Caenorhabditis elegans: one gene and its partners. The protein of the gene in region 1 interacts with the protein of each later gene in a pairwise test. Each region holds a gene or a part of one and is shown in the gene's direction. Other genes may lie near its edges.

What was found.
Region 2: the proteins of ced-4 (region 1) and mac-1 interact in binary tests that used the Caenorhabditis elegans proteins (3 or more experiments, as listed by UniProt).
Region 3: the proteins of ced-4 (region 1) and sun-1 interact in binary tests that used the Caenorhabditis elegans proteins (3 or more experiments, as listed by UniProt).

Annotation. Positions count from the first base shown.
Region 1 is NC_003281.10:4,847,357-4,857,967, forward strand, and holds ced-4 (Cell death protein 4), read left to right. Parts: upstream 1-4,968; coding exon 4,969-5,419; intron 5,420-5,470; coding exon 5,471-5,564; intron 5,565-5,609; coding exon 5,610-5,697; coding exon of another isoform or gene 5,698-5,699; intron 5,700-5,817; coding exon 5,818-5,952; intron 5,953-6,002; coding exon 6,003-6,340; intron 6,341-6,897; coding exon 6,898-7,173; intron 7,174-7,221; coding exon 7,222-7,327; intron 7,328-7,373; coding exon 7,374-7,601; downstream 7,602-10,611. Other genes in the region: nonu-1 (Smr domain-containing protein), read right to left, coding at 1-214, 270-636, 972-1,258, 1,308-1,494, 1,548-1,741, 1,914-2,024, 2,073-2,238, 2,287-2,494; F26A1.1 (Non-structural maintenance of chromosomes element 4), read left to right, coding at 3,182-3,184, 3,234-3,285, 3,332-3,400, 3,466-3,567, 3,621-4,129, 4,331-4,426; C35D10.8 (PH domain-containing protein), read left to right, coding at 7,980-7,984, 8,080-8,218, 8,264-8,377, 8,427-8,576, 8,624-8,716; C35D10.7 (ULP_PROTEASE domain-containing protein), read left to right, coding at 8,847-8,873, 9,503-9,985, 10,031-10,085, 10,310-10,611. UniProt on the Caenorhabditis elegans protein: Component of the egl-1, ced-9, ced-4 and ced-3 apoptotic signaling cascade required for the initiation of programmed cell death in cells fated to die during embryonic and postembryonic development.
Region 2 is NC_003280.10:13,312,198-13,322,809, reverse strand, and holds the start of mac-1 (Protein mac-1), read left to right. Parts: upstream 1-1,898; 5' UTR 1,899-1,900; coding exon 1,901-2,031; intron 2,032-3,590; coding exon 3,591-3,791; intron 3,792-5,648; coding exon 5,649-6,319; intron 6,320-7,918; coding exon 7,919-8,956; intron 8,957-9,966; coding exon 9,967-10,150; intron 10,151-10,202; coding exon 10,203-10,269; intron 10,270-10,612. Other genes in the region: Single-stranded DNA-binding protein homolog sam-10, read left to right, coding at 214-273. UniProt on the Caenorhabditis elegans protein: Probably together with ced-9, plays a modest role in preventing ced-4 and caspase ced-3-mediated apoptosis.
Region 3 is NC_003283.11:13,187,693-13,197,591, reverse strand, and holds sun-1 (Sun domain-containing protein 1), read left to right. Parts: upstream 1-4,053; 5' UTR 4,054-4,064; coding exon 4,065-4,446; intron 4,447-4,492; coding exon 4,493-4,596; intron 4,597-4,639; coding exon 4,640-4,843; intron 4,844-4,887; coding exon 4,888-5,307; intron 5,308-5,354; coding exon 5,355-5,666; 3' UTR 5,667-5,890; downstream 5,891-9,899. Other genes in the region: F57B1.9 (G-protein coupled receptors family 1 profile domain-containing protein), read left to right, coding at 233-356, 404-533, 581-752, 802-954, 1,005-1,088, 1,137-1,301; F57B1.1 (G-protein coupled receptors family 1 profile domain-containing protein), read left to right, coding at 1,944-2,069, 2,343-2,486, 2,542-2,665, 2,709-2,838, 2,884-3,064, 3,109-3,261, 3,308-3,391, 3,448-3,597. UniProt on the Caenorhabditis elegans protein: Involved in centrosome attachment to the nucleus. Required for zyg-12 localization to the nuclear envelope. Together with pot-1, it is required to anchor telomeres to the nuclear envelope in embryos.

The DNA of each region.
Region 1 (10,611 bases):
AAGAAACCATGGATTGTTGTGGGCTTCTCGAATTTTCCGATCAAGTTCTTTCACTTCCGATGATTTTTCAATTTTCATTCGTGACGCTCGATCGACAATTATCAATTGGCGATATTTCGCAGCAGCCATCGAATTAGAAGATGTGATGCGATCTGCTTCGATTTTCTGTCGAGTTCTAATGGCAAGCAATTGGATTTCTTCCAATTGGGAATGTCTGAAAATGCGAAATGTTAGAATTTTCATTTTTAAATGTTTACAAACTGGCTAACCTTCCACTTCTTTTCTTTAGGAAATGATTTTCCTCTTCTTTCTTCGATTTTTTCGGCAACGAAAGACGAAGTGGACTCGGTGAAGACGCAACTTTTTTACTCCATGTCGGTTTCGGTTTCAACTTCACCGCATATGTATTCTCTACTTCGCCATTACTCAAAAGAATTTCACGAGTAAAGTCCACTTTTCTACCAGCGATATTATACGCTTCACGGACTACTTTTTTATTAGTACCCGGAAATGATTCCTCTAGATTTGCAATGTTGAAATAATCCTCTTCGATCAAATCATTGTCTCCATTTTCGTCGTTCATTTCAGAGTGCAAGAGGAGTGCGATTTGTTCATCATTCTCGGTATCGGGATTATCTGAAAATAATTTTATATTAGGGAAAGGATTTTGAAATATTAAGTGACGTTTCTAAGGGGTTATGTCAAAAAAAAACTATGTTATTAAAATAACTCTTTTTTTAATTTAAAATCGATTGATTACAGGTTGGGGTGATTATACCCAAAAAAATAACTTTTAGATACGTACAATTTTGCGTACTTTAAAAATGTTTCCACAAATAGTTATGTTGATAGTTATGTTAATTAATAATTTTGTGCTGACTATAAACTTGAATCTCTGCGGTTTTTAATTTTTCTACATTCTGGAACAAGGAAAATTCGTAGTTATTTTCATTCGATTCTGCAAAACTTACACATTTCTTCCACAAACTTGAGTGCAAGTCTCTCAACTCTTCTAGCTTCAATTTCTTCTTCAATAGTCATATTTGAAACAGTGAAGCTCTCCAAAGCTTCAATCTCATCGAGAAGAATTCGTTCGTCAACTGGAATTTCTCCTTCAATGAATTCTTCGCCGAGATTATACATCAAATTGAACGTCTTCTCGAATCCAAGAACTTGAAGATAATGACGAAGCTCTATAATATCCATTTTACTGAACACGTGACGAAGCAATGAAAATGCGATTTCGTCAGATGTACCGCTGAAAATTGACTTCTCGAATTTTGTTTGAATTTTTGAAAAATACTTACACTAAAAGTTGAAGAGAAGGTTTGAAAACAGTTTCCCCATATTGAGATATCTCAAAACTCTCCGTTTCAGTTTTTCTTTCAACCATACGAACTGGTCCTTTCCAAATACTTGAAACATTATGTTCTTCACCAGAAAAAACACCACAATGTTTGAATACCGAATCAAAGCCTGCCAGTCCGTAGGTAACTGAAAATTGTTTTATTTTTAGTTGGATAGTTAAAAAAAGATTTTAAACTTACTACACTGAACGTCTACTTGAGTACCGACACTTCTCATTGATTTAACTTTGATTTCAGGAGTCATTGAGAATATTTGAGATAGTGAGGATGTGGATGAAGTTGTCGATTCTGTCAGTGATCCTTTATTGACTGAACTGATTGGTGATTTACACAGGACACTGGTAATCTCCGTATCGATGTGGAAATTTGAAATTCTGAAAATTGTATTTTTAATGTTCAAATTACACGCTTGCCAAATATATTAAAATTACGTGGTGCCAGAGTGTTCAACATGGTCAAAAGCGTGCCACATCACTATTCTATGGTTTAAAAAAACTTTAGATGAAAATGTGGGAAAGCCTGACACCAACTGAGCTTTTGGCTTACTTTACTGAAGCTTCTCCACCAATTACTAAATGTTCCCAGCCGAGTTGATTTTCTTTTAATTGCATGATTTTCGACTCGATAGACCCGATCTCTTCATCTTTTTCGCTTCTTCTGTAAAATGAAATATTTAGAAGAAAATTCAGGAATTAAAACTCAAACTTTTTGCATTCAATTGCATCGTGTCTCCAATCCGTGTCCGGCTCCAACACGAAAATTTCGTAGTGGCCATTAACCGCTAACTCTGCGAATTTTTTAACACTTGATCGTTGTACGTTCTCCTCGTCTACAACGATAAGATGTTTATCTTCATCGATAAATTTTCGCACTGAAATTAATTTTTATTATGTACACAAACAATGTTTAAATTAAATACCTGATCTTGTTATATTATTGGAAACATCGTTTTTCACAATAACGCCGTTTTCGGAATGGTTTACCAACTCTCGAGCTAATGTTGATTTTCCGGATCCCGTAACTCCGCGAATTAAAATAATTGTGCGATGACCTTCGACAAGGCATTTTTGAATATCCGATATCTCAGCATCGAAATTAAAACACTGTTCATGCTTTCGTGGTGACATTGTTGGCTGATCACTGAAAACTTTTTTTCATAAAACGAGTGATAGATTTTTAATAATGATTTTTCAGGCTTGCGTCGTCTATCACGTGAAATTGGGGAGAGCAAGACGCAGAGATGGAAAGAAAACTGGGTAGAAGTCACAATCCACGCACACTTCGTGAAGACATATGAATTGTGGAAAAGGACGTGTTAAAGCCCGTCCCCTTTTTCAAAATGAAAGTTATGAAAATGTGTCGAAGTTTCGACACATTTTTTTTTCGCGAAACAATGTTTTAATTATGAATAAAGAAGGAATCTGGGCGCAATATATACAAAGCCGGTTATTAGACACCAGAGCTTTATTGTTGCTTTCATTTTCTACCGATGGGTCTAAAATACAGGAAAAAGGAAAATAAAACATAAAAAAACCATTTCAAAATCATAAAGTTTACACTTTTAAATTCAAAAAATAAACAAAAATGTGTTTCTGTGCAAACACTCGACGGCTTATGGTACCAATGCACCTGATTTGACGACGATTGATATTCCCGGCAATTCGAATTGCAAAGCGGAGCAGCTTGCTCTTTGTTTGCTTCATTTAAATAATATTTTATAACTCTTCACTTTTTCTAACAATTACTTTTTATAAAACATTAAAGTTCCGATAAACATTTACAGCTGTCACTCAATTAACCTATAACAATCCTGGATGGTGAGAGACTAGTATTTTAAAACATTTTTAATTGAATATATTATTCCAGGACGTTGGAATTGCGAGTACATCTAACACAAACGATGTGGAGTTTGACGATGGTATATATTATTGATTAACATTCACATGATAATGGTTTTCTTTCAGATTTCATCCGACATGCTCGTCACATGCCGATCAATAAATTAATTGAAGAGCTGGCAATGTTGGAACACGGTAAACCAGCTGTCAAGATTATCTTTTATTGATTTTATTTTAATTATTAAATTTAAATGTTTCAGACAATCATCCACTTTTACATACTGCTCGCCGGAACTTCGATAAAGATAGAAAAGTCCAGAAGGATCGAATTGAGTGCCATCGCGCGAGAGCCGAACTAAAAGGTATCTTTTGAATTGTTGAAAACTTTGAAAAGCTCAAAATACAAATTCTTTAGCAAAAAATGATTTCAATACAAGAAGTGCCGCAGATCAAGCAGAATGCACATTGCGGTTAACGGAATTGCTAGACGAATTCACGAAAAGGAGTGATGAAATGGACAAAACAGTTTTGCATGAATACGGAGTCATCGATATTCATAAACAACAGTCAGCTCCGCCTGTGTTCGAGTCCAACAAGAAAACTCTGCGAGGACGTGGAGGAGGACAGCTTGTTGAGCCAGTCACTTACTTCAATTCAAATCAGAATACTCGAATACCTGAATTCAAGCTGAATTTGTCTTTCGAAAATCCGAGAATTCGACAAGAGTTGGATATTATTATGAATCGGCCGAATTCGCGTCGAATCATTGTCTGTTCGGTATCGATTCAGAAACCGAAACTTGTGATCGATAACAAGTCATTCAAACACGGCGAAGATGTCTATGCGTATAACAGAATATTTGGAGAAATGCTCGCAAAACTCGAAATTGTCACCGATAAAATGATTAACTTGAAAGGGGCTAATGTAAGTTATCTGATGTTTCTACAATTAAAAAAATTGTTTTTTTTTCCAAATTAATTTTCGAAGATTAACGAAAAACGATTAAAAATCAATAAAACGCAATAAAGAGGGCTTGGCTTTCTTTTTAATTTAAATTATAATTTTTCTGATTGTTGTATGAAGCTACAAAATGTACTGTTTTTGTATTTGAATATTGTATTACAGGGTTGGGATTCTCGGCAAATATCAGCGACAGTGGAAGATTTAGAAGAAGGACGTGTGACAATCACTAAGCAAAGAGGAAAGGATAAAGGATTGTGATATTTCACTGTTTTACTCATTCGCTTTTTAAATAAGAACTATATGCCGATTTGCCGATATATTTTTGTTTATTAGGCCTCTCACATTCCTGTACAATGTTTCTACCAAATAAACTGCATTTTTATCTGAAAATTCGAATTTATTTTTGTCTACTTTTTACTCGTTGCATTCGAGATCAGCATATCTTCCGGTCTATTTATATTCAACGATTTTTATAAATTAGTACTCCTTCATGTTTAATTTCATTTTATCTGTAAGCTTTACTGTATTTTTTTAAAATCTTTCTTGCTTCTATCTGATTATACAATGTTCTTTACTCATTTTCAAGGTATTTTTATGCCTCACAATTTATGCACATTTCGGGCTTGGAGATTTATCCTCTATATTACATGCCTGTTTTTTTAAAGTGTATATAATGTTTAACAAATAATTTTTTATCAATGCTATTGTATATTCTCCAGCTAACCGTTGTTTCGAAAACATCACCTAGCATTTTAAAATTCACAAAATCTTGCTTCCTTATAATCAAGAAGATTTTTCAGATGCTCTGCGAAATCGAATGCCGCGCTTTGAGCACGGCACACACGAGGCTCATCCACGACTTTGAACCACGTGACGCATTGACTTATTTAGAAGGCAAAAACATTTTCACAGAAGATCATTCTGAACTTATCAGTAAAATGTCAACTCGCCTCGAGAGGATCGCCAATTTTCTTCGAATCTATCGACGTCAAGCTTCTGAACTTGGACCACTCATCGACTTTTTCAACTACAACAATCAAAGTCACCTTGCTGATTTCCTCGAAGACTACATCGATTTTGCGATAAATGAGCCAGATCTACTTCGTCCAGTAGTGATTGCTCCACAATTTTCCCGACAAATGCTCGATAGGAAACTATTGCTTGGGAATGTTCCAAAACAAATGACATGCTATATTCGAGAGTATCACGTGGATCGAGTGATCAAAAAGCTCGACGAGATGTGTGATTTAGGTGAGAAAACTGGAAGCTCTCGTGTTTATTATAATCTTGCTTAAACTTCAGACTCCTTTTTTCTGTTTCTACACGGCCGAGCTGGATCCGGAAAATCAGTAATTGCATCACAAGCTCTTTCGAAATCTGACCAACTTATTGGAATGTGAGTGGTATTATCTGAATCCTACGGATCTTCATTCTATTACAGAAATTATGATTCAATCGTTTGGCTCAAAGATAGTGGAACAGCTCCAAAATCTACATTCGATTTATTTACGGATATTTTGCTGATGCTAAAGTGAGTGAATAGAGTGCATGTAACATTCAGCATGATTTTGAAATTATGAAAATTTGACCTGGTTAGCTTTTAATTTGATATTTCGTGACGCTTGCATGTTTTGTGTGTTTGAAGACGAGCCCGTGTTGTGAGCGACACGGATGACTCGCATTCGATCACCGACTTCATTAACCGTGTTCTTTCAAGAAGCGAAGACGATCTTCTCAATTTCCCATCGGTGGAGCATGTCACGTCAGTTGTACTCAAAAGGATGGTAAGTTGCTTGCCGATTCTGGTACAATATCTTAAATTATTGGTTTTTAGATCTGCAACGCACTCATTGATCGTCCAAATACTTTATTCGTATTTGATGACGTAGTTCAAGAAGAAACAATTCGTTGGGCTCAGGAGCTACGTCTTCGATGTCTTGTAACTACTCGTGACGTGGAAATATCAAATGCTGCTTCTCAAACATGCGAATTCATTGAAGTGACATCATTGGAAATCGATGAATGTTATGATTTTCTAGAAGCTTATGGAATGCCGATGCCTGTTGGAGAAAAAGAAGAAGATGTGCTTAATAAAACAATCGAACTAAGCAGTGGAAATCCAGCAACGCTTATGATGTTTTTCAAGTCTTGTGAACCGAAAACATTTGAAAAGTGAGTGGGACATACCAATTTGAGACTTTTAAAATAATTTATTCTACAATAAAAGTTAATCAAAAAGTTTCATAGCTGATTGTCTTTAAATTTTACGAATTGAGGATCAAAATCAAGAATTAGGATCCTGGCACGAGAGAAAACTGTGTAGCTACCGTACCCGAGAGATTTTCTTGATATTTGCCATCGATTTAATTTTTTAAGAAAATTATCGTTTTACATAATTGAACAAGAGATACACGGTCTCGACCCGACGGAAATTTTTTAAATGAAAGCGAGTATGAGCCTGTTTTCATTATTTTTCGATTTTCTCTTGTTGTTTCTTTTTATTTAAAGCCTTTTATTTTGAAACAAGTCTAAAAATATTAAAAACTGAATAAAATATTTAAAAAAAATCAAGTAAAATAGAAAAACAGCAAGGCTGGAGACTACTGTACTTCTTAAATCCGCATACTCTTTTTATTTAATCATTTTCCGGAATGTCGAAACGAAATAATACATTTTTAGTCCAAAATCGCTAGGTATATTCTTAAAATTATCAAACATTTTGCATTCAGAATGGCACAGCTTAATAACAAATTGGAAAGTCGAGGATTAGTCGGTGTTGAATGTATCACCCCTTACTCGTACAAGTCACTCGCAATGGCTCTTCAAAGATGTGTTGAAGTTTTGTCAGATGAGGATCGAAGTGCTCTTGCTTTCGCAGTTGTGATGCCTCCTGGAGTTGATATACCCGTCAAGCTATGGTCATGTGTTATTCCAGTTGATATTTGTTCAAATGAAGAAGAACAATTGGATGATGAAGTTGCGGATCGGTTGAAAAGACTCAGCAAGTATGAGTCTTGAAATTTGAAGATTTAAATTAACACTTAAAATTTCAGACGTGGAGCTCTTCTCAGTGGAAAACGAATGCCCGTTTTGACATTCAAAATTGATCATATTATCCATATGTTCTTGAAACACGTCGTTGATGCACAAACTATCGCCGTATGCTGAAAATGTCTCAACTTTCAATTAAATTTTAAATTTTCAGAATGGAATCTCAATTCTCGAGCAGCGTCTTCTTGAAATAGGAAACAATAATGTATCAGTACCGGAGCGACATATACCATCACATTTCCAAAAATTCCGTCGTTCATCAGCCAGTGAGATGTATCCAAAAACTACAGAAGAAACTGTGATCCGTCCTGAAGACTTCCCAAAGTTCATGCAATTGCACCAGAAATTCTATGACTCCCTCAAAAATTTTGCATGCTGTTAAAACCTATCGTGTACAATATTGCCTGTATATTCCCCTCGAAATACGTTTATACTTTTTCGCACGAGTTTTCTCATTTTTTCATTTGTACTTGTTTTATTTCTCTCCAAAATTTCAGATCTATCCCAAATGTTCTTAAATTTAATGTTTTCTACAGATACTCAACACATCTTGTTTCATCTCATCCTTGCTTTTTTTTTTCAAATATATTCAGTTTCTTTTATAATTTTAATTAATCGAATTAATACATTCACGTAAAGAATTTCGTGGACTATTATTTTATCGCATCCAAATGATTTATTCCCTATTGTTCGAAACTTCCAAATTGATCATTTTTAAACACGCCTCATTAAATTGAAAGTCGTACTTTTAGTCTCGAACATGAAGTAAGTTATTTTCTGTGTTCTAAATTCAAAGTGCATTCCAAAAGGACATTTGATGAGTTTTCACGAAAACCGTAATTTTTACAATTTCCTTTCAGTTTTGAAGATGTTCGATTTCTTTCCTCTGTTGGCGTCATTACTACATTTGCTTTGCTGCTTCACTTTATCGAGATTCTTGCCATCAATGGAGTTCCATCTAGACCGATAGCAGTCTTCATATCATTATCCCTGTATATTGTACTGTTTCAGTATTTTAACTTATCGATTACGTACTATTTTCAGTGGTTCACTGTTTTCGGTCAATGGGTGACACGTGCTCGACGAGCAATTTTCAACGAACGCAATCTCCTAGTCACTTATCAACCAAGAGCCCTCACCCATGGACATCTCTTTGTGGTATTTGCATGATTCAACGAAGTTTTAGTCTTAAGATTCATGATTTCAGCCAGATCCGCCGACGCCTTGTCGTCTGTCCATTACACCATGTGAATCGGGAAGTGACACGGAGTTCAAGAATGCACGGGATGCTCATTACAAAGATGAATTTCATAGAGCGATTAAAATGGCAAACGAACGACTAGTAATTCGACAAGAGGTTCAAATATTATTTATTTACATTTTTAATACTGGAAATGCTTTCAGAGTACCCAAATCATGAGAATGGAATTCAATACTGATACAAGCTCGCCACCAACATCTCCGGACAAGTCAGAAAAATCACCCGAATTCTTCTAAGATTGACTTCAATAAAATTATTATTTTTCGTTTTGTTGTTAGATATACCATTTTAAACAGTTTCGGTCTGAAAATATCGGAATGTTGGTCTTCTTCTTTCATTCTTATTTACTATTTCAGGCGAGAAATCATGCACCAAAATAACGGAGATTATCGGGTAAATAATAATAAATGTTTACTAAAAGCTACAGTACTTTTGCATCCTTCAAGGGAGGTGCATTCATGCGGAAGAGTCTCGCAGCGAAAACGCGATAGCGCTTACTGTAGAATTTCAGTTTGGAAGATTCGAGTTTTTTGGGCCTCCATTTTTCCTTCTTTTATTGAATTTTCTCAGTTTCTTCGGCAAGGTTCATTAAGTACAGTTAGCCATCAATTTTTCTATTATTATGTTCATTCTGAATGAATGCACACGCTTTCGAAAAGAGATAAGAACATTTATTTCAATTACTCTGCAGGAAGGTAGAATCAATGCAAGTGAAAGCGCGCGAAACATGTGTTTTCAAAATCTATGACGAAATCTCTATGTTCTAGGTGTGGAAACCCGCAGTTTCTTTTAAACAAAAGTTAATATTGTTGTTTTATTAACACCCCCTTTGAAATTTAACTCGGTCTACCCATTTTCCTACACGACTTTGCTTCTTTTTGTTAATTTTTCTGATTTTTTAGCATTCAAGAGAGCCAGTTAACATTTTTAAAACTATTTGGTATCTATAGTTTTTTCCAAACAAATATTCTCATCGTGTAAAAAATTTTCTCATTGAATTCTAAAGCTTTGATGTTTTTCAGGTCAGAGGATCTCGTCCATCGAGAAGTTCTGAGCACGCCGGCCCTTCTCTCCACTGCAAGAAGCCCGAAGGTTCCATTAGAGATACTCTTCGACTGTCTGGCAGCTTCAAAATCTACAAAGAGCCTATGCCGGAACTGGTATGTGACATACACTTGGAAAAGCTTGCGGAAAACATCCAAAAGTATTCGAAAATCGAAGAAAGGAAATACAGAGAAAACGATATGCATGTGAATGACGATTCACATAGTTCCGATAGTAGACCCACATCGGATAATGAAGTTAGCTCGAGCTCTGACAGAAATAACGATGAACCAAGTGTGCGGAGAAAGAGAAAATCCGTCGAGAATATGTGTCATGAACGAGAGCACCACGGGGATCATTTACAGATGCAAGTAGCTTCAGTGATTGCATCGAACCTGGGACCCATGGTGGAGATTGTGGAAAAGAAGCTCTTGCAACACAAAAATGCGGAAAAACTTTTGGTAAGCAACTGGAGTAAACTTGATTACTGAATATTTCTTTTTCAGAACGATGGCCGGGAAGTTTTCATTAAAACGTTGGAGGAACATAATCAGAAAAAAGGTATTGTGATAATAATAACATTTATTTGTCTCTGTAATAGCTATAGTGGGTGTCAGATGCTTTACATATTTTTGATTAATTTCTTTAAAGGCTCATTGTAGGGAGACACTTTTATTTTGATGATAGGAACTTTTCACAGCACATGTGCCTTCCATGTAGCTTTAAAAAATATGTTTCCACTGATATATAATCTTCCGCACTTTTTTATCTAAAAATAATTTCAGAAAAGGTTGAAAGAAAGGCGAAGCTCGTAGCAATACCACCAATGAAAGCTAGAAACAGGAGGTCTTCACGCAATAGCTTGGTGTACATAGATGGTCCTTCTACTTCTGAAAGTCATTCTTCAATGGTTCAACAAGTTCCCATCATCGACAACATTCCCGAAGTGCTCGAAAATGAGACAGCTGTCTGTTCCATTTCTAGTGAAGCAGATCATAATTCGAGAGGAATCAAAGATAATCAAGAATTTGCAATTGAAATCAGTGGGGAAGTGTCTCGAACCGACGACATTTGTGATGACTTTGCC
Region 2 (10,612 bases), on another chromosome or scaffold:
GTGAAAAAAAAAAAAAATTGTACATTTTTCAAAAAAAAAATCGATTAAAATTAAATCCTTTTTTAAAATAAATTTAGACAAAAAAAACCTATTTTCTCTTCACATTTTTCGCATAACGAAAAACCTGTAAATTTCTGGAATTTTTACTAAAAACTCTGTAAATTTCCGAAATTTTCATTGAAAAATCGATAAAATCTCATTTTTTTTTTGCAGGACGACAATGGCGAAATTTCAAAAATACGAGAAGGTCTCCTAGATGGATTTTGTGCATAGTGTGAGAGCCACCACGAAAAACCTTCTTTTGTGTATTTTTGGTGCCAAAGGGTAGAAAAATTGGCATTTATTAATTTTTTTTTCATTTTTTTTGATTTCTTGTGGTTTTTGTACTCCCCTGCCTTAAAAAACGCCAAAAATGACCTATTTCGGTGATTTTTTATTCAATTAATCGATAATTTTTTTCAAATTTTTCAAATTTTTTCCCTACGTAAACTCTCAAAATGGTGCAATTTTCCCTATTTTTATTGTAAAATTTTTTTGAAAAAAAACATCTCACATCTTTTCCATATTCTCTCTCTGTTCCATCGAAAATCCCCCCACCGCGAACTGATCTTCAAAATTATTTAGCCCCTCAAAAATTCATTTTTTCTTTCTTCTAAAAGTCCTCTAATTTGCATAATTCTCATTGATTGTATATTTGTAAAACCCCCCTCCTACCCCCCTCACCACCACCACCAGCTTCATCATAATTTATTTATTAAAGTAGAGTTAATTGGCGGGATTTTGCTTCAAAAATTCCAAAAAAAAAAAAGACTAAAATTGTGAAAAAATCGCTTAAAAATTCAAATTTTGACTGAAAACTCAATTTTTTACTAAAAATTCAAATTTCCAGCAGAAAAATTCAAATTTTGACTGAAAAACTCAATTTTTGGCAGAAAATTCAAATTTTGACTGAAAAATTCAAATTTTGACTGAAAAATTCAAATTTTGGCTGAAAAATTCAAATTTTGACTGAAAACCCAATTTTTTACTAAAAATTCAAATTTTGACTGAAAAATTCAAATTTTGACTGAAAAATTCAAATTTTGACTTAAAAATTCAAATTTTGACAGAAAAATTCAAATTTTTGACTGAAAAATTCAAATTTTGGCTGAAAAATTCAAATTTTGACTGAAAACCCAATTTTTTACTAAAAATTCAAATTTTGACTGAAAAATTCAAATTTTGACTGAAAAATTCAAATTTTGACTTAAAAATTCAATTTTTTACTGGAAAATTCAAATTTTGGCAGAAAACTGGTTTTTTTTCAAAAAATTCCAACGAAAAAATCAAAAACTCTTTATTAGAATGGTCCGACCAATCAGCGCATCGCTCCGCCCACTTTTGGACCAATCAGCGCGTTCGAACGCGTTGATTGGTTCATAAAGTGGGCGGCGGAGCGATGCGCTGATTGGTCGGGGGGAGTTCTTATTTAGGAGGAAATTAGCCAAAATCGGAAATATCGGTTGAATTTTTCAATATTTTGGGATTTTTTGAAGCAAAAATCCCCTCAATTCACGCTACTTTTTCGCCTTAAAATTCAATTTTTTAAGAATTTAATGATTTTTTTTCCTAAACTAACCCCAAAAATATCCCAGTTTTTTCCCCAATTTTCTCAGATTTTTACTTATATTCCACCCAACTTTAACTTATTAAATATCCATACCCTACTAGATACGTTTTGGTGTCTTTTTGTCCAAAGATTTTTGAAAAAAATAATGTGCAAAAAATAAACAAAATAATTCATTTTTTAAAATATTCTTTCAAAATTTTTAATCCTAAAAATCAGTTGAAATTTCATTATATTTCTTTATTTTTTTTTTGCTCAAAAAAAATCGATAAAAAATCTGAAAATTTTTCAGAAATGCCTGGCGGAATGGGTTTTCCTAGTGATCCGGCACTTTTGCCACGTGTACAGGCTCACATTCGAAAGTTTCCCGGTACAAAATACTTTAAGCCGGAGCTTGTCGCCTACGATTTGCAGCAAGAGCATCCGTATGTGTTCTGGAAAAAAAATTGAGAAAAAACACGATTTTTCAGCGAATTTTGAGCTTTAAAATCGATTTTTTTGAATTGGAAAAAATATGAAAATTCACAAAAAATGGGAGTTTTAAGCTGAAAAATCGATTTTTCTGCAATTTTTTGAATTTTTAAAAATTAAAAAATTTGAAAATACCCATTTTTTAGGAAAAATGCGCAAAAAAATTTTTTCAGATATTTTTTGGATAAATATACAAAAAATTTGATTTTTTTTGAGAATAAATTCAAAAAAATTGATTTTTCGAGCTTTTCAATCGATTTTTTTGAATTTTTTCGGCAGAAAATTGTGAAACAAAACAGATTTTCAAGCGAAAAAGTCGATTAAAAATCAATTTTCACTAGTTTTAGAATAACATTTCAAAAAATACGAATTTTTAAGCGTAAACATCGATTTTTGTGCAATTTTTTGAGTTATTACACCAGAAAATTGTGAAAAATCAGGTTTTTTAACGAAAACAATTTTAAAAAAATTCGATTTTTCTTCAAATATATTTATTTTTTTAAAATATTTTTTTACCTCAAAATTTGACTGAAAAATTCAAATTTTGACTAAAAAATTCAAATTTTGACAGAAAAATTCAAATTTTTGACTGAAAAATTCAAATTTTGGCTGAAAAATTCAAATTTTGACTGAGAACCCAATTTTTTACTAAAAATTCAAATTTCCAGCAGAAAAATTCAAATTTTGACTGAAAAATTCAAATTTTGGCTGTAAAATTCAAATTTTGGCTGTAAAATTCAAATTTTGACTGAAAAATTCAAATTTTGACTGAAAAATTCAAAGTTTGGCTGTAAAATTCAAATTTTGACTTAAAAATTCAAATTTTGACTTACAAATTCAAATTTTCACTTAAAAATTCATATTTTTGACTGAAAAATTCAAATTTTGACTTAAAAATTCAAATTTTCACTTAAAAATTCAAATTTTGACTTAAAAATTCAATTTTTGGCAGAAAATTCAAATTTTGACTTAAAAATTCAAATTTTGACTTAAAAATTCAAATTTTGACTTAAAAATTCAAATTTTTGACTGAAAAATTCAAATTTTGGCTTAAAAATTCAAATTTTGACTTAAAAATTCAAATTTTGACTTAAAAATTCAATTTTTGGCAGAAAATTCAAATTTTGACTTAAAAATTCAAATTTTGACTTAAAAATTCAAATTTTGACTTAAAAATTCAAATTTTTGACTGAAAAATTCAAATTTTGGCTTAAAAATTCAAATTTTGACTTAAAAATTCAAATTTTGACTTAAAAATTCAATTTTTGGCAGAAAATTCAAATTTTGACTTAAAAATTCAATTTTTGGCAGAAAATTCAAATTTTGACTTAAAAATTCAAATTTTGACTGAAAAATTCAAATTTTGACTTAAAAATTCAAATTTTTGACTGAAAAATTCAAATTTTGGCTTAAAAATTCAAATTTTGACTTAAAAATTCAAATTTTGACTTAAAAATTCAAATTTTTGACTTAAAAATTCAAATTTTGGCTTAAAAATTCAAATTTTTTTCAGAGAATACCAACGAAAAAATCACAAAGTCTTTATGGGAATGGTGCGTGAAGCCTTGGAACGAATTCAGCTTGTCGCAAAAGAGGAAAATGACGAAAAAATGGAAGAAAAAGAGGCGATGGACGATGTACAGGAGATTCCAATTGTAAAAGCACTCGAGACACGGAAACGGAAGGCTCCGGCTGCTGGGAGGAAGAGCACAGGGTACGGGAGCGGAGAAATTCCGACGTTTGGGGCTCAAAATTCGGAGAAAATCGCTTCAAAATTAGAAATTTGGGGTAATTTTCACATTTTTCTGGTTTTTTTTCGGAAAAAACTATGATTTTTGGACAAAATTTCAAATTTTGACCGAAAAAATCGCTCAAAATGAGCTCAATTTGAGATATATTCCGAAAATTTCACAAAAAATAGTTATCTTATGAATTTTTGGTTTTTCGAGAGAGAGAAAACAAGGAAAATCACAAAATTTCACTGAAACAGTCGGAAATTTTCCGATTTTTCCGCATTTTCCGCGTCAAAAAGTGGCCCTAAATCGAAATTTCTATCGAAAATTGTGAATTTTCACCCCGAAAAATTCAAACTCCCGTGCCGTCAAAAACTCAACGTTGACACAGCTGAAGACGCTGCTACCGTAGTCCTTTTTGAATTTTTCCGATTCTAGTGTCGATTGTTTTTTTGTCAGCGATTTTCTTCGAATTTTCCGGAAAAATATACAATTTAAGCTATTTTCGGTCCTTTTTGCAACCAAAAATTGGAATTTTCCCTGATAATCGACAATTAGACCGAAAAATTCACTGAAATTCACTGAAAATTTCAATTTTCCATTAATATAGCTACCGTTTCAGTAGAAATCGAAAAATTTTACCACGTCTGCATAAAAACTCAGCCTTGACAATGTATCATATTTGCGTCCCCATTCGCCGAAAAACCATCTCAATCACCGAAATAACACGTAATAAAATGCCAAAATATGCATTAAAAGGCGACAATCATATAAAAATTAAGTTCCAACCGCTGCGACACCGAGAAGTTGCCAAAATTTGAGATTTTAGCTAAAATTGGGTCATTTTCTCCAAAACTTTGAGCGGTCATTTTTTGAGAAATTTTCAGAGCGTCTCATTACAAAATTTGTTAGTTTTGGACCATTTTGAGTCTAAAAAAGCAAAGTCTCAAATTTCACTACCCCACCTGTGTTAAAAACCAATTTTTGAAGTAAAAATTGGGGAAATATTCAAAAATCTCGCCAGGAACTACGGTAGCAGTGATTTAAGCTGTGAATAGTAACCGAAAATGATTTTTTTTTCTCAAAAATTTGAATCTCAAGGCTGAGTTTTTATGCAGACGTGGTAAAATTTTTCGATTTCTACTGAAACGGTAGCTATATTAATGGAAAATTGAAATTTTCAGTGAATTTCAGTGAATTTTTCGGTCTAATTGTCGATTATCAGGGAAAATTCCAATTTTTGGTTGCAAAAAGGACCGAAAATAGCTTAAATTGTATATTTTTCCGGAAAATTCGAAGAAAATCGCTGACAAAAAAACAATCGACACTAGAATCGGAAAAATTCAAAAAGGACTACGGTAGCAGCGTCTTCAGCTGTGTCAACGTTGAGTTTTTGACGGCACGGGAGTTTGAATTTTTCGGGGTGAAAATTCACAATTTTCGATAGAAATTTCGATTTAGGGCCACTTTTTGACGCGGAAAATGCGGAAAAATCGGAAAATTTCCGACTGTTTCAGTGAAATTTTGTGATTTTCCTTGTTTTCTCTCTCTCGAAAAACCAAAAATTCATAAAAGAAAACTGTTTTTTTGTGAAATTTTCGGAATATATCTCAAATTGCTCGGTTTGAGCGAATTTTTGTTGGTCAAAATTTGGTCCAAAAATCATAGTTTTTTCCGGGAAAAAAACCAGAAAAATGTGAAAATTGCCCCAAATTTCTCATTTTGAAGCCATTTTCTCCAAATTTTCAGCACCTTTAAATGAGAATTTACGTTGAAAAATCGAAAAAAAAATCACGTTACACTGAAAATTTCCCCGAAAAACGACCAAAATTTTTCAGCCAAGCCGCCGCCGCCAAGGAAGTAGTGCTCAGCGACGATAGCGAGGACGAACGAGCCGCCCGTCAGCTCGAAAAACAAATTGAATCGCTCAAAACCAATCGGGCCAATAAGACCGTCCTCAATCTCTACACGAAAAAATCTGCTCCGAGCACTCCCGTTTCTACTCCGAAGAATCAAGCCACAAAGAAGCCTCCAGGAGCTTCTGCTGCTCCACCAGCTCTTCCACGTGGGCTCGGAGCCGTCAGCGACACGATCAGCCCGCGCGAGTCCCACGTGAAATTCGAGCACATTGGTGGAGCAGATCGCCAATTTCTTGAAGTTTGCCGGCTCGCAATGCACCTCAAACGTCCGAAAACCTTTGCCACACTGGGCGTCGACCCACCACGTGGATTTATTGTTCACGGACCGCCCGGATGTGGGAAGACAATGTTCGCGCAGGCGGTGGCCGGTGAGCTCGCGATTCCGATGCTCCAACTAGCGGCGACGGAGCTCGTGTCGGGAGTGTCTGGAGAGACGGAGGAGAAGATTCGCCGGCTTTTCGATACGGCCAAACAGAATAGTCCGTGTATTCTGATTCTTGATGATATTGATGCGATTGCACCGCGTCGGGAGACGGCGCAACGGGAAATGGAGCGGAGGGTTGTTAGTCAGTTGTGCAGTTCGTTGGATGGTGAGGAGCACAACTGATTTATCGATTTTTTGAAGGGAAAAATCGATAAATCGATAATTTGAAAACTTCCGATTTTTCGGTAAATCGGAAAAACGAAAAATTTTGGATTTATCGATTTTTCGATTTTTCCAAACTTATCGATTTATCGATTTTTCCGAATTTTTGGATTTATCAATTTTTCCAAATATATCGATTAATCGATTTTACCAAATTTATCGATTTTTCGATTTTTCCAAACTCATCGATTTATCGATTTTTCCAAATTTATCGATTCATCGATTTTTCCAAGGGTTGTTAGTCAGTTGTGCAGTTCGTTGGATGGTGAGGAGCACTTGATTTAACGATTTTTTTGAAGAGAAAAATCGATAAATTGATAATTTGAAAACTTCCGATTTATCGATTTTCCGGTAAATCGGAAAAACGAAAAATTTTAGGACATATCGATTTTTTCAAATTTTTTTGATTTTCCCGAAAATTTGTGATTTATCGATTTTTCAAAATTTTTTTGATTTTCCCAAAAATTTGTGATTTATCGATTTTTCAAAATTTATCGATTTTTCAAAATTTATCGATTTTTCAAAATTTATCGATTTTTCCAAATTTATCGATTTTTCCAAATTTATCGATTTTTTCAAAATTTATCGATTTTTCCAAAATTTATCGATTTTTCCAAAATTTATCGATTTTTCCAAATTTATCGATTTTTCAAAATTTATCGATTTTTCAAATTTTTGGAATTATCGATTTTTCAAAAATTAAATTTTTTTGTGTCGATTTACGCAGCTTGTGTACTTCTCGAGGATATTTATTGCTTTTTTAAACGAAAATTTAGGATTTATCGATTTTCCGGCAATTTCGGTACTTGCCGATTTTCAAAGTTTCCTGCAATTTCAGAAATTGGCGGTTTTGGAAATTTCCGGCAATTTTGGAAATTTCCGGCAATTTTGGAAATTGCCGGTTTTGGAAATTTCCGGTAATTTCGGCAATTGCCAGTTTTTTTTTAAATTTCCGGCAATTTCGGCAATCGCCGGTTTTTTAAATTTCCGGCAATTTCGGCGATTGCCGATTTTTAAAAATTTCCGGCAATTTCGGTAATTGCCGGTTTTTAAAAAATTCCGGCAATTTCGGTAATTGCCGGTTTTTAAGATTTCCGGCAATTTCGGTAATTGCCGGTTTTTAAGATTATTTGGCGATTGCCGGTGTTTAAAATTTCCGGCAATTACAGCAATTAACGGTTTTGAAAATTTCCGGCAATTTCGGCAATTGGCGGTTTTTTTTAATTTCTGGCAATTTCGGCGATTGCCGATTTTTAAAAAATTTCGGCAATTTCGGTAATTGCCGATTTTCAAAGTTTCCTGCAATTTCGGTAATTGCCGGTTTTTAAGATTTCTGGCAATTTCACAAATTGCCGGTTTTTAAGATTTCTGGCAATTTCACAAATTGCCAGTTTTCAAAATTTCCGCCAATTTCAGAAATTGTCGGTTTTGAAAATTTCCGGTAATTTCGGCGATTGCCGGTTTTTAAAAATTTCCGGCAATTTCGGCAAAAAGTTTTAGACCACACCCACACAAGATGGCCAACAAATTTTTTTTGTTGCAGAACTGGTACTTCCACCACGCGAAAAACCACTCAAAGATCAGCTAACATTCGGAGACGACGGCAGTGTAGCCATCATTGGAGACTCCCCGACTGCAGCTGGCGCCGGTGTTCTCGTAATTGGTACCACCTCCCGACCGGACGCCGTCGATGGAGGACTCCGACGAGCTGGACGCTTCGAAAATGAGATTTCGCTGGGAATCCCAGATGAGACAGCACGGGAGAAGATTCTGGAGAAAATATGTAAAGTGAACCTGGCCGGTGATGTGACACTGAAACAGATCGCCAAGCTCACGCCAGGCTACGTTGGAGCTGATCTTCAGGCACTGATCCGTGAAGCCGCCAAAGTTGCCATAGATCGAGTCTTCGATACGATCGTTGTCAAGAACGAGGGACACAAGAATCTGACCGTGGAGCAGATCAAGGAAGAGCTCGATCGGGTGCTCGCCTGGCTTCAAGGAGACGATGATCCATCGGCTCTATCGGAGCTCAACGGCGGGCTTCAAATCTCGTTTGAGGACTTTGAACGGGCTCTCTCGACGATTCAACCGGCGGCGAAGCGTGAAGGATTTGCGACGGTGCCTGATGTTTCTTGGGATGATATTGGAGCACTGGTGGAGGTGCGGAAGCAGTTGGAATGGAGCATTTTGTATCCGATTAAGAGAGCCGATGACTTTGCGGCTCTGGGAATTGACTGCAGGCCTCAGGGTATCCTGCTCTGCGGGCCGCCGGGCTGTGGAAAGACCCTACTAGCCAAGGCGGTGGCTAATGAGACGGGCATGAACTTTATCTCGGTGAAAGGCCCTGAATTATTGAATATGTATGTTGGAGAATCGGAAAGAGCCGTCAGAACGGTGTTCCAACGGGCTCGAGACTCCCAACCGTGTGTCATCTTCTTTGATGAGATTGATGCTCTTGTGCCGAAGAGATCGCATGGGGAGAGCTCTGGTGGAGCACGGCTTGTGAATCAGTTGCTCACTGAGATGGATGGTGTCGAGGGGAGACAGAAGGTTTTTCTGATTGGAGCCACTAATCGGCCGGGTGAGCTTTAGGCAAAAAATTAGCTGAATGAAATCGGATTTTGGTTCAAAAAAATTCTAAAAATAAATTTTTGCCTCAAAAACAAAAAAAAATTATTTTTTTGCTGAGAAAAACACCCAAATTAATCAAATTTAAAAAAACCCCTAAAAATCAATTTTTTCCGAAAAAAAACCAGAAGCTCTATTTTTGCCAAAAAAAAAGTTCAATTTACCAAAAAAAAATTTTTTTTCGGAAAAAAAAAGAATGTACATTTTTGTTTAAAAAAAAAATTTTTCAAGAAAAATACTAAAAGCCTTTTTTTTAAGACAATTTTTTTGCCAAAATCAATTTTTTCCAGAAAAAACCTTTAAAAAATCAATTTTTTGTCAGAATTTGTCAGGATTTTTTTGTCGATTTTTGCCAAAAAACCAAATATACCAACAAAAAAAAAACACAGTTTTTTCGTCGCAAAACCGAAAAACATTATTTTTTCCAAAAAATAGTTCAATTTTCCAAAAAAAAAATGTTTTTCGGAAAAAAAAGTACATTTTTGCAAAAAAATTTCCCCAAAAAACCAAGTAACACAGTGCATATAATAAACCGCAAGATAAACTTTTCCCTAAAAACCCAAAAAAAATTTTCCGAAAAAACCACCAAAAATCTATTTTTGCCAAAAAAGAATCAAGTTTTGCAAAAAAAAACCCAAAAAATTCATTTTTTGCCAGTAAAATATCAATTTTGTTTGAAAAACCAATTTTTCCGAAAAAAACCCAAAAAAAATCTTTTTTTTTTCTAAAAAAAAACCAAAAAATCAATTTTGGTTAAAAAAAAAACGAAAATTGACAAAAAAAAACCAAAATATCAATTTTTCTGATAAAAAAAACAAATCCATTTTTGCTAAAAAAAAATCTCAAATAAAAAACGAAGAAATACAAAAAAATCCATTTTTGCCAATAAAAATCCATTTTTTCCTGAAAAAACCAAAAAAAAAAATTTTCCCGTTTTTTCAACACTATTTCCTTCCATTCCAGACATTGTCGACGCGGCAATTCTCCGTCCAGGACGTCTCGACAAAATTCTATTCGTAGACTTCCCGTCAGTCGAGGATCGTGTCGATATTCTCCGAAAAAGCACGAAAAACGGAACTCGGCCGATGCTCGGCGAGGATATCGATTTTCACGAAATTGCTCAGCTTCCAGAACTTGCCGGTTTCACGTGCGTCGAAATTTTTTTGGCAAAAAATTTTTAAAAATTTTGAAAATTTCAGCGGCGCCGATCTGGCGGCTCTCATCCACGAATCGTCGCTTCTTGCACTACAAGCCAGAGTTTTAGAGGTTTGTTTCGAGAAATTGGTGGCCGAGGAAAAATTGGTGGCCGAGAAAACGATTGGTGGCCGAGAAACAAAATTGGTGGCCGAGAAAAAAATTTGGTGGCCGATAAAAAAATTGGTGGCCGAGAAACAAAATTGGTGGCCGAGAAAAAAATTTGGTGGCCGATAAAAAAATTGGTGGCCGAGAAAAACATAATTGGTGGCCGAGAAAATAATTGGTGGCCGAGAAAAAAAAATTGGTGGCCGAGAAAATAATTGGTGGCCGAGAAAAAAATTGATGGCCGAGAAAAAAATTGGTGGCCGAGAAAAAATTGATCACCATTTTTCTCGTCCACCAATTGTTTTTT
Region 3 (9,899 bases), on another chromosome or scaffold:
GGTTTTTCACAAAAGTGAGAATCTTCTATTAACTTGGGATTTAGCGACATCTTTTGATATAACGTGGCAAGGATTACCAAGTTTTCCCAAGTTTCACCCATTTTTTGTCTTTCTCACCAAGTTTTTCTTGTGTCTTTTTTATCGGGCATAAACGATGCAAACTTCAAAACTAAGTTTTAGAAAGGTTCTGCCGATATTAAATTTTTGACAGTTTCCAATTTGATTGTTTCAGATGAAATTTTTCTGGTTTCTATGTATGCTCACATTGTCTATATTTATTATTTCAATTCTCAATCTTCTCATCAATGTTCCTGCAACATTATTTTCTCTCTTAACCAAAGATTTTGTGAAATCAGGTATCGAAACGTTTTGTGATCATCAATTGTTTCTTTTTTTCTTCCAGAAGCGTTTCTTCTCATTTCCTATATCATAGACATTTGCCATTACACTATTCTTTTTTGCAATCTGGTGATCGCAGTTCAGAGATGTTTCGTTTTCTTTTTTCGAAACTTGGCGGACAGTGTCTTTGACACGTAAAAACAATGTCAGAGTTGATCATATGAACTTTGAACGCTTTCAGGCCATTTATGTATGCGTGGATGATATCTGTATATCTACTTTCACTATTGGTAGTGTATGCTATGATGTATAATAACTGCCGCTATAGGTATTCACTGAATGTTCTACATTATGAACTTTATTGTCAGACAAGTGCAGTTGTCAACTTGCCGCCACCAAAAGCAATCTCAATTGTAAACAGAGAAATTAGCTTCTGAACCACTTTAAAAAATATTATTTCAGATGGAAATAGTGATCCAATTTGCAATTCCTTGTATAATTTTTGGGATCTATATTGCACTTACAATCAAGATAATGATAATGAAACAATCATCACTGAAATCAAGTGAAATCACCATTTTAAAGCAAGCATTCTTCGTATTCTTTGTTTTTCAAGTAATCAAACATTACCTAGCTATCCCATTTAAATCTATTCAATTTCACAGGTATCTTCTGTCGTGTTTCTTCTTTGTCAAACGGTAAAATTCGGTGTGGCTACTGCATTTCTTATCAAACGAGTTATCAATACGGTTCGATAATAACTTTGAAAACTTATTGCATTGAACTTGTGATTTCAGATGGAAATATTAGCTGGTGCGGCGACGCCTTGCTTCTTTTTCTTCACTTCAAAAGAAATTAAAAAGATGGCATCAGTTAAAAGCTCTATGAATAATTCTCAAGCTAGTTCGAATATAAGACTTCGGAATGTGTCAAGTATCTCTGCTCTTGGATCGGTCGCATGATTCTTCTATTTAAATTCTCAAGAATTGGAACTATAACTTTATACCACTATACCACTAACATATGTTGTAAAGGGGACTAGTTTTAAAATCTTAAAACGTGTAGAAATGTACTTTTTAGCTTTCTAAATAAATAATATAAATCAGAAAATATATCATGCAATTCTTTTCTGGAATAAAATTTTTAATCATAAACTATTCTGACCACTGAAAAAGTATAAAAATTTCGTTCTTAATAATTTTGGTTCAAAGCAGAAAAATAATCCTCCTTTATAGGAAAAAATGGAACAATTATTTAATATTTTCAATTAATGATTGTTAATTTTTTGGGCACGTAGAAAAATCCAATATGTGAAACGTTTAATTCGGAACGTTAACGCTTGTGAAGTGTGGCGCTCCAGAGCTCAATTGGGTGGAATGTCTAGTTTCAACTTATCTACACAAAATATAACATTCAAAACAATTTTATTCAAAGTGCTACTTGATATTCATCCAATTCCTAATCTCGTCATGATCTCACATCAAAGCTGAAAATTTCATCTAGTCATGTGTTGAGTTTTTGAAATTAATTGATTTCTTGACTCCACCTGCTTTTCAGTTTTCCAAAATAATCAGCGTACTCAATTTGTTGAGTTTATGAAATCTATGTTTCTTCTACTCTACTTTTTGATATTTTTAAATGTAGTATATGGACAAGGAGATGATCCATTTTCTAATGACTTTATTAGAAGAAAGAATTTATCTGATTTAAAAGACACGGTTCTTGGAGAGGTCAGTTGGTCTAAAATCTATTTTCAAATTATAATATTGGTGAAACCTGAATTCAAAACTTTTTTCATCTTTTAAAATTTTGCAAATATCATTTCTAAACTCCAATATGTTTTAGATTGAACTTTGTTAAAATTTTGGTAAATTACCACAACTTCAGCTTTTCAAAAAATAATTCGAAAAATTTCGCTGGTATTCAGTTTTGAACCAGTTGAGCTTGAAAAAACACTAGCTGAAATGAAATAGTTGTCGCAGATTAAATGTTTAACTTGTAAGGTAGCTGGTAACATTCCACCAGAAGATAAGGATGGGCTCTATTATTTTATTATCACCTTGTTTGTTATGTCCACATTTGCATCAACTATTTTGACTGGAGTTTTCTTGGCTCTTTCTGTGATCCTTTGGAGCCATTTCAAAAAAGTAATGAAACACGTTTTACATAACTTTTTCCAAGGAATTTATTGAAAAAATTCAGATGATATTTTTCTGGTTTTTAACTCAACTGACCATTTCTGTTTTCATAATGTCTTCTTTAAACTTTTTAATTAATGTACCAGCGACATTATTTGCTTTGATAACCAAGGAATTCGTTCAATCCGGTAACTTTTTTTGAATCAATTTTGAATCATTTTTTTTGTTCAGCCTCATTCTACTACATGTCCAATGTAATCGATTTCTGTCATAATGCAATACTTTTCTCAAACTTGATAATTGCAATACATCGGATGTTTGTGTTCTTTTTCAAAAAACACACGGATATTGCTTTTGAAAAGTAGGGAATTCTGAAATTTTTGGAATTTTAATCTACTAATCCCAGACCGATAACATACTTTTGGATGGGAATGGTATGGGTATTGTCTGCTTTTGTTGTAGTGTCTATGATTATGAATAACTGCCAATATGAATATGATGAACGAATTTTAATGAAACATTATGTTTTGAGTTGTGAAACTAGTAGTGGAATTAAAAATATTGCTCCACCGACAATTGTACAAACTGTAAGCACAATAATGAAAATATCCAGTCCAATAAACACTTTCAGATTGAAATTTTAATACAATTTATTCTTCCAATATTTATTCTGGGAATATATATTGCAATTATCATTAAAATAATTTTAATGAAAAAAGCAGCACTCAACAAATACGAGCTCACTATTTTGAAACAGGCGGTTTTTATATTTTGCCTATTTCAGGTCCTGTTTGATTTAAGAACGAAAAAATGAAAAAAAAAATTTCCAGATTTCATCGTCGGTTTTCCTATTATGCCAAACTATCAAGTTTGAAATAGCAACTGCATTTTTGATAAAACGGATTATTAATACGGTTCGTTTTTTTTTTAATTTTTCCATAGCAATCTTGAAAAATTATCCGTATTGCAGACTGAAATATGCGCTGGAGCTGCAACGCCGTGCTTCTTCTTTTTCACTTCAAAAGAAATTCGGAAACTCGTTTCTGTGAGAGTTTCTCTCACTACTTCACAAGCCAATTCAAACTCACAGCAGAGAAGGCAAACTTCGAGAGCGATTTAATTTTTATTACTAAAATCAGTTTCTAAAATGTTTTTGCCAATATTAGAATAAATACTCGTGTTTTAATGAGAACAAACTCTTCGCAAAAAATTTCTGTGCCTGCCAAATCATATTTACTGCTACAGTAACTTTCAAAGGTGCAATACGTCAGCGGTGAGGGTCTCGACGCGATCTTGAGAATTGCCGCAATCAGTGCGGGGCTGCTTGAATTCGAGGTTTCGATTTTCTGGTTTTTTTTTTCATTTTTCGAATTCAGTTCGGATATTTTTTGTTTTAAGACAAATATAAAGCATTTAAAAAGTTTATGCTTTGTAAAGTGCAGTTAAACTTCAATTAATTCATAATTATTTTAATTGAAACAACTTTCTCGCTCTTGAAAATATTGCATTGTTTCTTAATTTCCAAATTACAATTCCGCACAGGCTTTTTTCATTCAATTTCTTTCTAAACTTCCAGATCTACTCGGTATGGCGTTGCGACACACCATCTCACCGCAGTTTTCGAATCGCCACAGTCCTCCAGTTACCCGTTCTGTATCTCGAACAGGAGTTCATCAGCCGCTAGACACATCTACTCCAGTTACTCGGCGAGATTCCCAACCTGGAACGATTACAGGCACCATTCAGAGATTTCATGAGTCGGCTGACGATTCTGAAATTGATCTGAACTCTTCGAAATTTATTTACAAGGAGCATTTTAGCTACAAAGAAATCACTTCGATGAAGAAGGAAATGTGGTATGACTGGCTGGAATATCGCATTCGCATGGTTCGGCGTCGTTTTGTTCCAACGTGGGCCCAGTTTAAACGTACTCTTATGGCTGTTGTTCTTTTTGCTATGTTATACAAGTGTGAGTCGGGAAAACGTGTTGTGGGTATCTAAATGAATAATTTCAGATGCTCGTGATTGTTTATTCGATGGAACGCATCATAATTCAGAAGGATCCTACGCGGATAAAGACGCGAATTGGGCGTCCGAAAAACAGAAATTTCATCAGACGGTACAATGAATGAACAGTCAGAATAAATTTTTATATTATTTAGATTTCCAATCTCCGAGCAGAGTTTTCGGCGCACGATAAACAACTCGATTTCAAAACTGACCATTTGGAAAAACTACTGGAAAACGTTTTGGAACACAGCAAAGGATGGAAAGAGTCGGCAATCGAAGAGCTCAAACAGATCAAATTATGGCAAGCAGAAATTAGCGATGCTTTGCAACAAATGAAAAAGGAAATCGATGATGCGGTAATTTTCAAATTTAATATATTTTCCCAATGCTAATTTTTCAGAAAAGCACAAAGATCATCCACAGTACACCAGAAAAGGCTCCAGAGACCGCACCAACTGCATCGCTTCCTCCCTCTAGCCAGCTTCAACCAATGCACATAACACGCCGAGCACTTCTTGGAGTGAATGTTGCCAACAGTCTTATTGGTGCATCAATCGATCATTCTTGTTCATCACGTCCAGTTTCTGCAAAAGATGGATTTTTCTACGATTTCATGTCATACTTCGGAACGTTCCAGGAGGGATATGCTTTGCTTGATCGCGACGTTCTATCCCCAGGAGAAGCGTGGTGCACATACGATAAACGTGCGACCTTGACCGTGAAGCTCGCTAGATTTGTCATACCGAAAAGTGTCTCGTATCAACATGTCAGATGGAGCGGGATTGTTCCAAATCATGCCCCGAAGCTCTACGATGTCGTGGTAAGCTATATAAAAATTGTGTTCAGTAACTAATTATATATTTTCAGGCATGCACGGACTCATGTTGCACCAAATGGCAGCCTCTTGTCGCCAACTGTGAATATAAGGAACGTGATGGAAGTTATGACGAGCAAGAACAATTCTGTTCGGTGCCAACAATTCAAAATCACTCACCGATCAATCACGTGCAATTCCGTTTCCGCGAAAATCATGGAGATATGCCAAAGACATGTGCTTATTTGATTCGTGTTTACGGGGAACCAGTCGATCCACCAAAGGAAACGCAACCAATGACGGATAATGGAACTGAATCAAAGTTGGAATCTGCAATTGTTAACTCTGTATCAGAAACCGCATAGAAACGCCGTATTATTGTTCCTGCCCAACTTGTTTTTATATCATTTTCACGTTCCCCACTGACTATGAATCTCAATATTGCTTCTTTGAAATCGTTTGCAAATGTTTTGTCCCGCTTTACTATCCACGTTACCGTTTGTATTTCATTGCTTTATTCATTTTTTATTAATGTGTCATGTTCTGTTTATTTCTTGAAAGTTCTAATCTAAAGTTTCAAAGTTTTAAATTGTGTTCTGAATTTTAAGCACGAGAGCAGCAGGGAAGTGGTGATTACAAGAGAAAACTTCGCATCTGCTAACTAGGGAATGGTGTTACCCCTGCAATCGCTAGGAGGACAAAACAAACTTTAAATGACAGATGAGGTCTTTGGCTACAAAAATCATTTTTTGGAATCTGCTTAACTCTGCCCCAAAGCTGAAATTTTCGGCCTTAAAAAGTAGTCCTCTTTTTGCTCAAAGTGCCGTTTTCGTTTTTTTGAATTTTTCCTCTAGCATGAAATATGCACAAAAACACGGTTTCTTTCGTTTTTTGGTAACTTCGGAATAAATTTTTTGGTTCCTGGGAATCATAAAAGTAATTTGGAAACTTTTTGGAAGTTTTCTTTTTTTGATAAATTTTCACTTTTTTCCCACCTGATATATGCACATTTTTTTTCTTCAAAAATAATTTTTCAAAATTTTTTCAAAAAGTGTTTGGTTTGAAAGAGCAGCATTAGTTTGGATATTTCTACGATTTTGGAGGATCAAATGTCATTTTTAGGAGAAAACCACTGTTGTTTTCTCTAGAGTTTTTCACGAAAAGGACTTACTTTCAAAGACTTCCAGCTCCGTTGACGGGTAAAATAAAAAAAAGTTGTCAACTGCAAAGTTGTTTTAAAAGTACCAATAAACAAATTGTCAATTGAATTTACTCTGCTAACTTTAGCTTTAACTTACTAACGTAAGTTAAAGCTTCACTTCGATTAGCTATATCTCTTTACCCATAAAATTTAGCAGAGTAGATTCAACTGACAATTTGTTTATTGGTACTTTTAAAACAACTTTGCAGTTGACAACTTTTTTTTATTTTACCCGTCAACGGAGCTGGAAGTCTTTGAAAGTAAGTCCTTTTCGTGAAAAACTCTAGAGAAAACAACAGTGGTTTTCTCCTAAAAATGACATTTGATCCTCCAAAATCGTAGAAATATCCAAACTAATGCTGCTCTTTCAAACCAAACACTTTTTGAAAAAATTTTGAAAAATTATTTTTGAAGAAAAAAATGTGCATATATCAGGTGGGAAAAAAGTGAAAATTTATCAAAAAAAGAAAACTTCCAAAAATTTTCCAAATTACTTTTATGATTCTCAGGAACCAAAAAATTTATTCCGAAGTTACCAAAAAACGAAAGAAACCGTGTTTTTGTGCATATTTCATGCTAGAGGAAAAATTCAAAAAAAAATTAATACCTATTGGGGAACGAACCCGTGACCTTTAGATTAATGAGCACGAGAGTTCACCAATCGGCCATTCGAACGGCGGCTGCAGTTCCAAACTTTTATGTAGCCACTTCTACACACGAAAAACGGCATTTTGAGCAAAAAGAGGACTACTTTTTAAGGCCGAAAAGTTCAGCTTTGGGGAAGAGTTAAGCAGATTCCAAAAAATGATTTTTGTAGCCAAAGACCTCATCTGTCATTTAAAGTTTGTTTTGTCCTCCTAGCGATTGCAGGGGTAACACCATTCCCTAGTAAGATCAAATGGTGGTATTTTTTAGCAATTGTTAAACACTTGTGCCCAACTTTCGTAATTAGTTTTCCCTGATTTCAACTGTTAGTTTCAGAATTGGTGATTTCATAGATATTAATCAAAGTATCTACGAATGTTGTTTCTTTTTTATTGGCTATTGATTATTCCAACAGTTCCTGGAGAAGATGAAATATTGAATCCTAATAGTAAGACCGGAAGCCGTTTTGATACAGACTTTACTACTTTCAACAGCAGAGATATAAGCATCCATCGGAGAGGTAATGGGAATATTTTAATCCGGATTGAATAATAACCAAAAAAGGAATTGGGTGTCGTTTTTTTAGATAATTTATCAAAAAAGAAGAACAGGAAGACGTTCTGCGTGTAATTAAATATTATAGATTCGCGAAATTTTGTCATGTCTATTTAAAGGAACACGTAGTTTTTTCTGAGTGGGTCTCACCACGATCTCAGTCATCGTGGACTCTCCAGGCACCAAGTTTTAGAGAATTTCTCATTTAATGTTGAAAATGAAGTTTATAAATTTTGAAATTCTAAAGTGCATCTGGAAAGCCTTTTGCGAACATACGATATATGTTCATAGTATATCTAAACCTCAAAGTCTACGGTTTTACTCATCCAAGCAATAAATTACCCTACTTCTTAAAGAACCACTTTGTTTTTCGAATCTTTCAAAAAGTTTGGTCGCGCCGACACCAAAATTTCGCATTTTGGGAATGCAAACATTTCCGATTTTTAGATCACAGCAAATTTGCCACTAAAGGATAAAGATGTTATGTACTATTTTGTGATTTCTTCGTTTGTCTTGTCGTCTCTTGTTTCAACAATTTTAACTGGAGGATTTCTAGTCCTTTGTTTTATTTTATGGAGTCGGTTTAAACAGGTTAGACTAAAATCGTCATGTTTATTATGTATTCGGGTTCAGATGATATTATTTTGGTTTCTCACACAACTAACTTTTTCTGTATTCGTTATGTCATTTCTGAATGTTCTGATAAATGTTCCAGCAACGTTATTTGCAATGATAACAGAGTCATTTGTTCAGTCGGGTAACCGGAATATTCTAGAAATGTACATTTTGATATTTTACAGCTCCTTTCTTTTACATGTCCTGTATTATTGATTTCTGTCATAATTCTATACTCTTCTCGAACTTGACAATTGCAATTCATAGAATGTTTGTATTCCTTTTTGCAAAGGCTACGGGAAAAGTATTCAACAAGTACGTGGAGAGCCTCACAGTGATATGATTTCTATATTGACTTTCTGACAATTAATTTATATTTGGATGACACTTGTTTGGATATTTTCAGCATTCATTTCAGGATCCATGATGTTGAGTAATTGTAGATATGAATATGATGAAAAGTTGAAGCATTACTTTTTACAATGCACAACACCAACAGGAATTATTATACAAAGTGCACCTACCGTAATCCAAGTTGTAAGAACGTTTTGAACTCAAGTTAATTATGTTTGTACCATGCTAAACCATGCTTGCCAACGGCCCTTATCAAGCAGACAAGCCTATCTGCCTTCAAGAAGACTTTGCCCTTTGGCAAAGATTATGAACTAATTGAAGCAATTACTGGAGACCAGCGGAAAATATACAAATATACTTTTCTTATTAGACCTTAAAAGTTCATGAATAATTTCAGATAGAAATAGTCCAACAAATTCTTGTGCCAATAACTATTTTGGCAGTTTACACTTCTGTAATTATTCGAATGGTTTTAATCAAGAAATCTGCTTTGAATAGTTATGAATTGACCATTCTCAAACAAGCGATTTTAATATTTTGTCCGTTCCAAGTAAGTTTAAATTCAGTTACAGAACTTTTCTCAAATTTTCTCAAATCTTCAGATCTCTTCATCAGTCTTCCTTCTATGCCAAACGGTGAAGTTCGAACTCGCGATGGCTTTTATGATTAAACGGATCATCAATACGGTGAGTATACAAAACTATTTATTATTTCCTCGAATTCAATAATTTCAGGCAGAAATTCTTGCTGGAGCTGCAACACCATGTTTCTTTTTCTTTACTTCCAAAGAAATGAAGAAGCTTGTTTCAGCACGAGTTGCTTTTTCGAACGGAACAATCAAGATCAAATCTTTTGCATCTAATTCAGTTCTTCAAAATATGAAACAAACTTTGTGAATATTTCAATAAACGGAAATTTTGTTCCATTATACTTTTTTGGAAGGTTATGGTTGACAAGTTCATGGTTTCATTCTTCGTATCCATTCCCAAATATTTCATAGCTGATATTAAGTCTTTGTTTCAGCTGTCTGCTTTTGACTAGATAATTTTTGTGGTTTTGAGTTTTGAGAGCAACGTGACATATTTGAATTATTGAAGTATTGTTGTTTTGGGATACTTTAAGATGAATGCGAATACGGAGAACGAAGCGATTTTCCGGTGGTTTTATAATAAAACTGTGTTTTGATACGTTTTCTTAAATATCTGAAAATATGATGAATAAATAAGTT